Linked DNA regions of Nothobranchius furzeri. The protein of the gene in region 3 binds, or shares a complex with, the protein of the main gene of each other region. Links are inferred from orthologs where the notes say so. Each region holds a gene or a part of one and is shown on either strand. Other genes may lie near its edges. The genes, in order: thoc7, chtopa and thoc6.

What was found.
Region 1: the proteins of thoc6 (region 3) and thoc7 are in contact, whole or in part, in a cryo-EM structure (PDB 7APK), measured with the Homo sapiens proteins. The link is inferred for Nothobranchius furzeri from reciprocal best matches to the Homo sapiens genes THOC6 and THOC7. Residues at the interface, in NP_001334633.1 of Homo sapiens: Asp229, Trp232, His245, Thr252, Gln268, Asp269, Gln284, Leu285, Ser286; in NP_079351.2 of Homo sapiens: Lys110, Arg113, Lys114, Gln117, Glu118, Ala121, Leu122, Val125.
Region 2: thoc6 (region 3) and chtopa share a complex: the UniProt entries of both Homo sapiens proteins name them as parts of the transcription/export (TREX) complex. The link is inferred for Nothobranchius furzeri from reciprocal best matches to the Homo sapiens genes THOC6 and CHTOP.

The regions. Positions count from the first base shown.
Region 1 is NC_091743.1:56,272,672-56,275,897, forward strand, and holds thoc7 (THO complex subunit 7 homolog), read right to left. Parts: upstream 2,352-3,226; 5' UTR 2,265-2,351; coding exon 2,246-2,264; intron 2,039-2,245; coding exon 1,915-2,038; intron 1,811-1,914; coding exon 1,683-1,810; exon of another isoform or gene 1,384-1,682; coding exon 1,297-1,383; exon of another isoform or gene 1,179-1,296; coding exon 1,121-1,178; exon of another isoform or gene 1,043-1,120; coding exon 976-1,042; exon of another isoform or gene 884-975; coding exon 814-883; exon of another isoform or gene 742-813; coding exon 680-741; 3' UTR 576-679; downstream 1-575. UniProt on the Homo sapiens protein: Component of the THO subcomplex of the TREX complex which is thought to couple mRNA transcription, processing and nuclear export, and which specifically associates with spliced mRNA and not with unspliced pre-mRNA.
Region 2 is NC_091751.1:23,238,911-23,242,662, forward strand, and holds the end of chtopa (chromatin target of PRMT1a), read right to left. Parts: intron 1,642-3,752; coding exon 1,464-1,641; intron 1,393-1,463; coding exon 1,240-1,392; intron 1,154-1,239; coding exon 951-1,153; 3' UTR 516-950; downstream 1-515. UniProt on the Homo sapiens protein: Plays an important role in the ligand-dependent activation of estrogen receptor target genes. May play a role in the silencing of fetal globin genes.
Region 3 is NC_091745.1:30,130,840-30,134,591, forward strand, and holds the end of thoc6 (THO complex subunit 6 homolog), read right to left. Parts: intron 3,244-3,752; coding exon 3,140-3,243; intron 3,063-3,139; coding exon 3,025-3,062; intron 2,953-3,024; coding exon 2,904-2,952; intron 2,782-2,903; coding exon 2,710-2,781; intron 1,438-2,709; coding exon 1,335-1,437; intron 1,270-1,334; coding exon 1,220-1,269; intron 1,126-1,219; coding exon 1,063-1,125; intron 948-1,062; coding exon 837-947; intron 768-836; coding exon 642-767; intron 568-641; coding exon 487-567; 3' UTR 457-486; downstream 1-456. UniProt on the Homo sapiens protein: Component of the THO subcomplex of the TREX complex which is thought to couple mRNA transcription, processing and nuclear export, and which specifically associates with spliced mRNA and not with unspliced pre-mRNA.

The DNA.
Region 1 (3,226 bases), on a different chromosome or scaffold from region 3:
CAAGCGTACCTGGTAGAGTTCTAGACCTTAAATCCCTTTTCTGTTGTAGCATGCATGATGTTGTTCTAGACTTTATGGTTCGGTTAAAACAATTTACAGGGGTTTGCAACAAAGTACATAGTGATCATTCACATAGGAAGTCAGAGGCTTTCTTTCATTGTGGTTTATTTACTACATCAGTAAATTTTGGCATTCATTTTTAAATAAATGAGCAAAACCATAATTCTTGTTACAGACGTCTTATTCTCAGAAGAATGTAATTTTGTGAACTTTAAATCAGAAACTATTTGATAGTTTGGTATGAAAAAATGATAATTTAGTATGAAAAAAATGATAATTGGGTTTAATGACACTTAGATTTTACAAGTATTCAAACTCTCACTTATAGTGCAGAAACTTCCAGAGAAAATACAGCACATATGAATGTTCAACAACTGTTCTGTCCTTGACTGACGCGTATTAAATTTCTTTTCTGATCAGAGTTTCAGTTGATTTTCTTAAAAGCCTGGAAGCTTTGGTTACATTTTTACTGAGATTATTTTAATGAAAAGAGAATATAAGAATTAAAGATATACTCCAAGATGACAGCTTTATTCAAAAATACATACAAAAAAGGATTCTTAGACAAACTAAATTTCAATTAAAAGCTGTGACTCCTTCAGTTGGGCTCTTTATGTGTTCAATCCCCATTCTCCATGGGACTCTCCTGACTGTGGTCGTCACTATCTGACTTTTCATCATCTAGGAAAGACAGGATAGACGATGAGGGCAGCTCTGACAACAGTTTGTCTGTATAACCAAGTGGCTACTTACTTTCTAGTGTCTGCTGCAGCTCCTGAATGGTAGTAAGAAGAACATGAAACTGCTTCTTCCTCAACTCCAACTAAAGAGAATGCAAACATGGCATAAAAAGTCAGTAAAAATACAACTAAATCTGATACTTTAACAACATTAGGCCGCTGTGTTTGAGTTTACCTTTGCATCTACGTTCTCTTTGATGTGAGACAGTTGCTGGAGTTCTTTATCGAGTGCCTCCAACTGCCTGGAAGGTAAAACAAAAATGAGCACTTTATTGAACATGAAGGGGAGCTTGACATGTTTTATCGATAGGCTGACTTACTGGAGTGTTTCATGTCTGTCTGGGTGTTGCTGGATTACCTTTGCTAAAGCATCATATTCTTTGGAGAGACAGAGAACAGATACTTAAAAAAAAGTTTACATCCTTTTGACAACGCACATTTGATACCACATCTGGTAATTTTTCTGTAAATACAACAGATGTTAAAATGTCCTTACCCTGGCGATTTTTTCGTATTCTCTTGGCACGCAGAATTTCTTTTTTGCATTCTGTGATCTTCTCATGTGCAGATGTGATGTTTTGTTCTGCGAGGTGCGAAAGAAAAAAGTTTGATTAGTGTTAATTGGGCGATGGTGGCACAGGAGTTAAGTGCTCGCCCCATAATCAGAAGGGTGCAGGTTCGAGCCCCGCTCAGTTGTAGCTACGATGTAGCTCATCACCACCAGTGTGTGAATGTGTGTGTAAATGTCTGATTGTGTTGTGTTGTAAAACGCCGTGGGGGGTTCCAGGACTAGAAAGCTCTATAAAATACAGGCCATTTGGCATGTATGACTAAAAGAATTAACAAAAAATTCTGTGACATTGAAAACAAAGCCGATCTTACCTATGTTTGCGTAGATCTTCTCATAATTCTCCATTTCACGAAGATTCATGTCATAAACCATCAACGTCTTTCCCATAGAAAACTCACACTGAGCCAGAGTAGCCACCATCCTCTGGTACTGAGTGAATCTACACACAAAGAGCCCAATGTTCAGCATTTCACTGCAGTTGTGTACTCGGCATTCAAGATGTTACAAGCAAAAACTGGAGACAGATATATTGCTAGCTCGTACCCTTCTTCTAGGGTCCCAGAAGGTGAGTTGCACCACTTGGTGAAGCTCTTCAGCAGCAGATTGATTCGGCGGTCATCTCCAGCTCCGTCACCGTCAATGAGAAGACGTTTTCGAATCACCTCATCTGTGGAACATGCAATAAAGCAGCTGAAGAGCGTTGAAAACATAATGCATCTATGCTAAGTGTGCTAGCTAACGTCGCTATTACAGGTAGCATTTCTGGGTATTTTTCCAGATAATAAGGCGCAATTTACAATGTTTTAAACTTAGACGAAAACAAAAGTAAAGAGTAACTTAAGTGCTGAAATTAGTTAATGATAAAGCCACAAACCATCAGTTACAGCTCCCATGTTGCTGTTTTTCTTCTTCTACTACTTCCGTTCTACTGGTACTGATTGATCTTTTGTCTTTAGGCAACTCAGACACAGCTGAGCTCGTTACTGCCTTATCTGGTAAGAGGACGTTACTGCATGTTGTGATCTTTTCGCTTCATCTTCGTTAAATAATGTGGATTTTAAGTATACAGTGATTACAGTGATTATGTGACACAGAGATTTAGTTTAAATGCAATTTAGTAATACCACTAGGTTTTTTTATCACACAATCAATTACAAATTACACAATCAAGTGATGAAATTGAATTACGGTAGAATACATTTTTCAAAGGCAAAATGAATGCTGTAATCACTTTTTGCTGTGTAAAAAAACGCCTCAATTATGTATGAGCAAAGCCCTGCTCATAAAAACAGCATATGTTGTGTTTGGTGCTGGTTTAGTGGTAGATCAGCATACAATGCTGGTCTAGCAAGATGGTTCAGCATCCAGTCACCAGCTTCCCATACTGGACAGGCATTGTACACATCTTTTAACACAAAACCCTAAACTTTTGCAGCTGTTCAAAAATAAGCACTTTCTTGACATCAAAACGTGTCTTTAAAATTCACAGACATATATGTGAAATATATGGCACATATCAAATAGGATTAGATTAGGATTAGAAAATAGCCTCTCCCTGGGCTGCCACCTTAGCGTGGTGGAGGGGTTTGAGTGCCTCAATGATCCTAGGAGCTAAGTTGTCTGAGGCTTTCTGCCTCTGGTAGGGTCACCCACGGCAAACAGGTCCTAGGTGAGGGATCAGACAAAGAGCAGCCCGAAGACCTCGTATGATGAATTATATAAATGGAAAACGTGTTGCCTCACCCGGACGTGGGTCACCGGGGTCCCCCTCTGGAGCCAGGCCTGGAGGTAGGGCACATTGGTGAGTGCCTGGTGGCTGGGCTTTCACCCACTGAGCCCGGCCGGGCACAGCCCG
Region 2 (3,752 bases), on a different chromosome or scaffold from region 3:
TCACACCATTCTTTGTAAACCCTAGAAATGGTTGTGGGTGAAAATCCCAGTAACTGAGCAGATTGTGAAATACTCAGACCGACCCGTCTGGCACCAAAAACCATGCCACGCTCAGAATTGCTTAAACCACTTTTCTTTCCTATTCTGACCTTCAGTTAAGAGTTCAGGAGATTATCTTGACCAGGACCACACCCCTAAATGCACTGAAGCAACTGCCATGGGATTGGTTGATTAGATAATTGCATTAAGTTAAACAGGTGTTCCTAATAATCCTTTAGGTATGTGCGCACACACACATGGTTCACAGGATGTAGTATAGAGAAGTTTGTAGGTCTTAGGTTTGAACGTCCAACCTTCTAACTGGTGACGTTTTCCCAGTGAGACACAGCCATGGAAACCATGTCCCTGTGGGCACCAATCGCAGAACAAAAGCTAAGATCACACCAGGACATCTGCTTTTCTACATGCTCCAGAACACCTACAGGCCTTAAATGTTTGACATGAATCAGAAAATATCTCATTCATCATTTTATTTCCTTAACACAACTTGGGAAATAATTTTAAAACAAACATCTTGTCAGCTTCACGGAATACAAACAACCCAAAGCCTGAGCACTTCTTTCCCTGTCAAATATAAGAGAAAATGACTCGTCTTAAAATTCTTGTAAAATTATCATTTTAAAAAACGTTTCCACTGCAAGTTTAAGATGAGCCAAAGAAACTCTGGAGGTTTGAGGAAAAACTAAGAAAAACTAAACAGTTTACACCAAACACCTGTTTGACTAAAACTTCATACAGGAAGTCCGTGGACATCAGGGTCAAAGTCCCCTTGAGTTTATTCATCAGCTGATTGGCTCTTCAGCAGCAGGTGGATGCACGGCTAAACAACAGGGTGCAGCAACACCACTTGACGCTACGCCCCAGTCTTCAGCTCTGGTCTCGCTGGGCCGTCACTCCATGCTGTCGGGATCTGCCTGGGCCATGTAGGCATCCAGTTCTGCATCCAAGTGTCCCTTGGTCTTTGACATGTACGCATCCAACTGATTGTCCAGTTGTTCCCTTGTAACGGTGGGCCGGCCAAGTCCTCTGCCCCGCCCACGGCCGCGGCCCCCACGACCAGCAAATCCCCCACGTCCACGAAGTCCACCACGGCCTGAAGACAGAACATCATCAGTGAGACAGTGAAAAAAAAAAAGACACGAGTCATCAAACGATTGTACTAATAAATACAAACTCTACCCCGGCCTCTGGGCATTCCACCTCGACCTCCTCCTCGAGACAGAACTCCTCCTCTTCCTGCCACTCCTCCACGATGCCGACCTCCTCTACGCATGGGGAAGCGTCCGATGCCCCCCCGACCTCTCATAGGTCCACCTGTAGGCATTCGCCTGGCTGTTTAACACAATGTGATTGCTCAGCTGAGAGGAAACACCCCTACCATCTCCACGCTGACGGACACCTACCCCTCAGAGAAGACAGACCCCCACGAATGATCCCTCCTCTCAAACCCCCTCTGAGGCCTCCTCTGGTCATCCCCCGCATGCCTCCTCTTCCTCCAGGAGGTCCACCCCGCATCAGAGGCCCAATGGGCCGGCCCAGCCGGGCCTGGATGTTGCCTTTCCCCAGACGTTGCTTTAGGCTCTGGTGGTTCAGAAGGATCGGTCACAGCAACAAATCAGGAACACAAATAAAGCGAAGCAAGAGTAGGTCCAGCTTGTTATCCCAGCTTTCCATCAGACGCGCGAGCGTCACAAAATGTCCACAAAGCGTAGTACGTAGCACTTAGCTTCTATTATATTTACCTGTAAAACCTCTGTGACTGAGGTAAACAGTAAGTACACCACAGACCTGCTAGGATACCGTTACCATCTTTCTCCATGCTTGTTATCACGTGAACCGCTGAAATCATGCTTGATCTAGCGTTTTCCTGTGATTTTGTAACGTTGTGGGTCCAGCTGTGACACATTCACTGCCGCTTCATGTCAGAAAATCTCCCGGTGAGACGATATGCACCGCTGAGCTCGTGAGGAACCGCGTCACTTATGCATCCAGTGGAAAGCTCAGGTTAAGCCGGGTGTACACTGTGCGACTTTTTCACTTTTTTGAGCCGATTTTCCACTCGTGCGAGAATCCACGAGATCGGGGCGAGTTTTGCGCTGAGCGTCGTGTACAGGGGGCTACGAGAGGCGATTAACACCACGTGACCAGCTACCGATCAGCAATCGTGAGCTCGCACAGACTTCTGGCGTGTTTAATATTTTGCTCGTCCCTCGTGAGGGTATCGCACTGTTGAAGCGGCGCTGCGAGCAGCTGCGACCCAAAAAGTACCAGAACCGCTCACGGCACATGCATGCATCAACACCGCTCGCCCGCTATTTCCCTAATAACACACGTTGTTCGTTTTTATTTTCTACACTTTTTTTACTCACAAAGGTTGTCAAGAAAGCGTGTTTGTCGTGTTCATGTCAAATTAAACTGATCACAAAACACAGATTTACTTTCTTTATTTTGTTTTCCTCATCCAACCCCCATAAATCCCTGTGTGTCCCCCTGCAGCACTCCCGAAGGACAACAGGCAAAACAAGACAAAAAAGTCTGACGTGTTGTGTAAAAACTGCTATTTTTAGCACATTTTTAGGGCCGACGTGTTGCTACCAGACGTACAGCGTGAGCAGTCAGATCGCATCCGAGAACTGGGTCGTGCAGTGTGAGCGCACGACTCGTGAGATCTGCTCTGTGAGGAAGTCGTACAGTTTGAGCTGAAGCTGAGTGCTACGAGTGAAAAAGTCGCACAGTGTCCGCCCGGCTTAAGGGTACAACAAGACTATTTGGACATCTCACCCCTGATTGGCTAACAGCAACACAACTCTACCACTAACCTTGTTTGATTTGCATCATTGATGTTTTACCTCCATAAATGAATGAGTTCTACTGTATAGAGTAGCAGCTAATGCTAACAGTTAGCTTCTATTAGCCAAGGCAAGCTCTAGTCTCTCCTGAATGCTAAACCAACAACTGCCTTCCCCATCTTGAGCCAAGATGGCCGAGTCCATGAATGTTAACTTACTGTGAGGTAGATCTGACTGGCTTTGCTAACCTGAGAATTTCCTCGTCTGTTTTCTATCGGCTAATGCAGGAAAAAGGGGTAGAAGACTATTCACATATTCAGCCTGCATGTGAAACTCAGAGTGACCAATCATTTAAAAAAATAACACATAAAAATGGTTTCTCAGTGAACTTGTTCTTTAAACCTTTTATCAGCTATAAAGCAGCTCGTTTCGATTTGATCGTTGTCTCACTCCCATTTCTTTTTTGTTGCACATTGAAGCTCTACTTGGGACCTTGTTAATGACCAACCAAACAAACACGACGTTTGGCCATTTTCAAATGGTCTTAAACTTTTGATCAGGACTGTACTTCCCAAACAGCAAATGCATCTTCTGTCAGGCTTGGGTTTGGTTTCAATGATAATTCACTGATAAAACCAGAACAGAATCTTTCTGACTTGAGAACCCATCAGACCTTTGCTAACTTGTGCCCTTTTCCCTACTGAACACAGCTTTAAGCCTGATTTATGCTTCTCCGTCTGCGTCAGTGCGGAGACACGCAACGCCATTATCCGTCCTTGCGTAGGGATCCGGCAGGCACGCAAGTCCGTACGGAGTCGAGCCCACTTTTTTAAACATCCGTCGAACGAGACGGATTACGCAAGCCTGTGATTGGTCAGGACGCCGCTGTTGTTTACAGCGCCG
Region 3 (3,752 bases):
ACTTACTGCCGGCATCGTGGCCCAAGCTCTGGCAGCGGTCATAGAGAGACAAAATTGTTTCCAAGAGATGGTTCAGAATTGACTGAATGTGTTACGAATATAGTTTTATGGAAAGAGGAGACGCTAGTTTGTATCTTTAAGGCTCTAATTAAAAACCTGTTATAAATCATTCACTCCAAAATGTAGATCAGCTTGAGAAAGATGTCCGAAAGTTTTTGACCTCAAAACAAAAAGTACCAGTTGAGAAAAGAAAAGCTCAAGTATCTTCACCAGCAGGAGTTGTGAGGGACAGCCCTGAGAGAAACGCAGTCCTCTAAAGAGCTGAAGCTACAGTTTCCTCCTGTGATGGAGAGATTTTTGTCTGCTGGATTGAGAGAAGAGGATTATACGTTTTTTATAGAACCACGTTGTTGAGCCAGATTAGATCCTGGTTCTGATCATTTAAATGACAAAAACTGTTTGTAAAAAACATTTTATTAGGAAAGTTCAGAAGCTGAGTGAGAAGGTTCTGTAGGACAGGTTGGTGAACACGTCAATGTGGCTGCTGCTACCTCCCACCGTCAGCACCTGAAACACAAACACCTTCACCAGGTGCTCCTCACACCGGTTAGGAACCTGCTGTGCTACGTTCAGGGACTCACCCGGTGCTCTGAGCTGTTGTTCAGCTGCAGAGTGTTGAGACTTGAGGGTGTGCATGGGATCTGAGCTTTGACATCTCCACCCAGAAGACAATGAGACACAAATGCACCCTGCCCCACTGCCAGGATCTACACAACAGACACAGACATATTGTTGTTTGTCCTCCACTCTGAGTGAAGTGGGCCATTGTGTCTCACCATGTCCTGGTGGAAAGCTGCCTGGCGCTGGCAGCCGCTCAGGGGAAACACGGATGTTGGGGACAGAGAGCGGAGGTGCCACAGAGACATTGACGGACCTCCTCCACACACCTGCAGGGACACAAAAACAACTCATGTGTGTAAAACTGTCCTCCCAGGTGAGACCTGCAGCTGTTAATGCGCGGTACCACACAGTCCTGATCAGCTGAAGCTGCTGTTTTCTTACCATCCAGTCAGAGTCTGTGGTCACACAGCTGATCCATTTACCGTACTGAGGCCGTACGCAGCTCTGAAACACACACACACACACACACACACACACACACACACTCAGCATATTCTCACAATGTGGTGATCCTTGCTGACTGGCATGTAGCTCTCACCTCGTACTTGTAGACTTCAATGCAGTGAACGCACTGGCCCGTCCTGGTGTCTGAACAACAACAACATCATCACCATCACCTGCTGAGGAAGGCCTACCCAGCTGCTGTAACTCACCCCACATCCTCACAGATCCATCCTCGCTGCCGGACAGAAGCTCGGACTCCCGCTCACGCACACACACACAGTGCACATAGTCTGTGTGACCCTGAAGGGCTGTCTGCACACATAGGCCAGACATGTTTGTGTGAGGTTAGTTTAGTGGCGATTTTCCTGAGGGTTTTAAATCCTTGGGTCCCTGCTGCACTCAAGTGATATCTTGTACGCAGGCAAAAAAAAGTCCAATGTCCAAACAATCTTAACTGATGAATATTTTTGGTGTTTATTCATCCAACTTGTCAAGTATGATGCACATCTTCATTTCCTGCCGCTTCTCCTGCTCTGGTAAAAAAAACTATAGGCCTACCCCAGTGCATGCTGGTCTAACACCAGTCCCCATATTTATTGTTCCTGGCTGATTCTCACAGGCAAAACTAAAATAAATAAATTAAATCATCATTAACCAACAACTAAACCCAATAAATAACCCAACAACTGTAAGTACAGTGATCCCTCGCTACTTTGCGGTTCGTTTATTGCGGATTCACGACTTCGCGGATTTTTTCTTTGGAGACTTATTCAAGGGAAATTCGCCGATTCGCGGTATTTTTCTATGCGAAATATCAAGAAATTCCTGTTTTTTTTCATCATAAAATGCACTTTTTGTAATAAAACTATAAAAAAAACAAGTAAAAAAAATTTTTTTTCTTGAGTTTTACCCACAAAAAGAGAATGTGATCATACGATAATTCAATATAGTACTGTATATCAGACTGGTCGGCTGGATTCGGGAGTTGAGCTTGTAGGGAGCGTGGTTTCACAGACACGGAAGAGATAGCGTCGGTGAAACGCCGGCTCACGATTAATCTAGGAAACCCCCGAGCGTTCGAGCATCAACGAAGTGACAAGGAAATGCCGGGCTTTCCAGAAGTAAGTAAGATAACTTACTATGAGCTGATAGTTCGTGGGATGGATCAGTAGGTTGGAAACTCTGATCATGAATATGAAGAAACGATGACTGAGTGGTGAGCTGGAAAGGCGACTTCCGATTATAGCCGCGGTTTGTGACGTAGATGCGACGTGGAGGGAATCCCCGCGAGGGGCATGCTGGGAGTTTTGGTCCATAGTGGAGGCCGGCTAGCTGGAAGAGGCTGGCCTGGGAACTTGGGTTCTGACACTGTACTGTAAATATGGTGTCCCTACTTCGCAGATTTTCACCTATCGTGGCCAGGTCTGGAACGCATCTACCGCGATAAACGAGGGATCACTGTAACCCAAATAGCGCCAACAGTTAGTTTAGGCAAAGTAAAATGATTTCTGTGACGTCGGGAGTTTCCTTTAGCATTGATGCTGTTTCATTAGTCAAAGACAATAAGCAGAGAAGCTGATGCACCTTAAAGTCTCCATGTTCCAGGTCCAGGATGTGGACGTTGTTGTCTCCAGCTCCAATCACCAGACTGTTGTCCTGAAACACACACAGGCCAGATGTTTCCATATCAGATCCTCTTCAGTCAGTTCTTAAACTCTGTTTTGTTGAGCAGGTGTGTGTGTGTGTGTGTGTGTGTGTGCGCGCGCGCACTCACTCACTTGGGTGTTGATGACCATGGAGTTAATCTCTGGGATCTCCAGACTTGATCTGCCAAAAGACCAGAAGAGGCATTAGTACGTGACCTTCAGGTTGGACGGGAGGCAGGAGAGATGTCCTCACCTATAGTTGGGCCTCTTCGTCCAAAGACATTTCACATTCTGAGGACATCAAGTTCACAACATTTCACAAGTGAAGCTGTGCTGCTGTACAGGTTATCTACCAGATGTAGCGTTACCTTCTTGATGAGTTCAGTCCAGCTCCAGGCACTGATCTCTCCATTTCCAGCACTCAGCAGGACACAGTCTGTGGACAGAAGACTGAAAACTGCACCTTCATGAGCTGCAGCAAAAGAGACAAAAACTCAAATCAGATGAAGATTAAAGGACCTCAAATCAAAAACACACCTAACACTAGTTTGGATTTGTTAGAAACTGTCTCATTTAATCTGAAACCACCTAAAAATTAAAGTAAAAAGTAGAAGGATGGCATTCATGCTTTTCACATTAAAACACGGCTGAACACACCAGAAGTCTAAGAATAAAATGTCTTAATAGGCTGAGGAGGCTTTTAATTTGAAGTTTTAGCATTTCACAATGTGGAATGTGTGCCTTTTTCTGTTGAAAAATTAAGTTTTAGTATTAAAATTAATAGTTTAACATCATAAAAAGTCTTGCTGAGAATGAGTGAGTGATTAAAAATTCATTTTATGGAAAAAAAAAAAACATTAAGCTGCAGTGCAACATTTAAAACTTAAAAATAAGTAAACTGTAAAGTCTGACAGGAGCTTTAAATGCTTATTGGACACAGGTAAACGAAACACCACAGCCTGTGGCGGTTTTACCATTAGG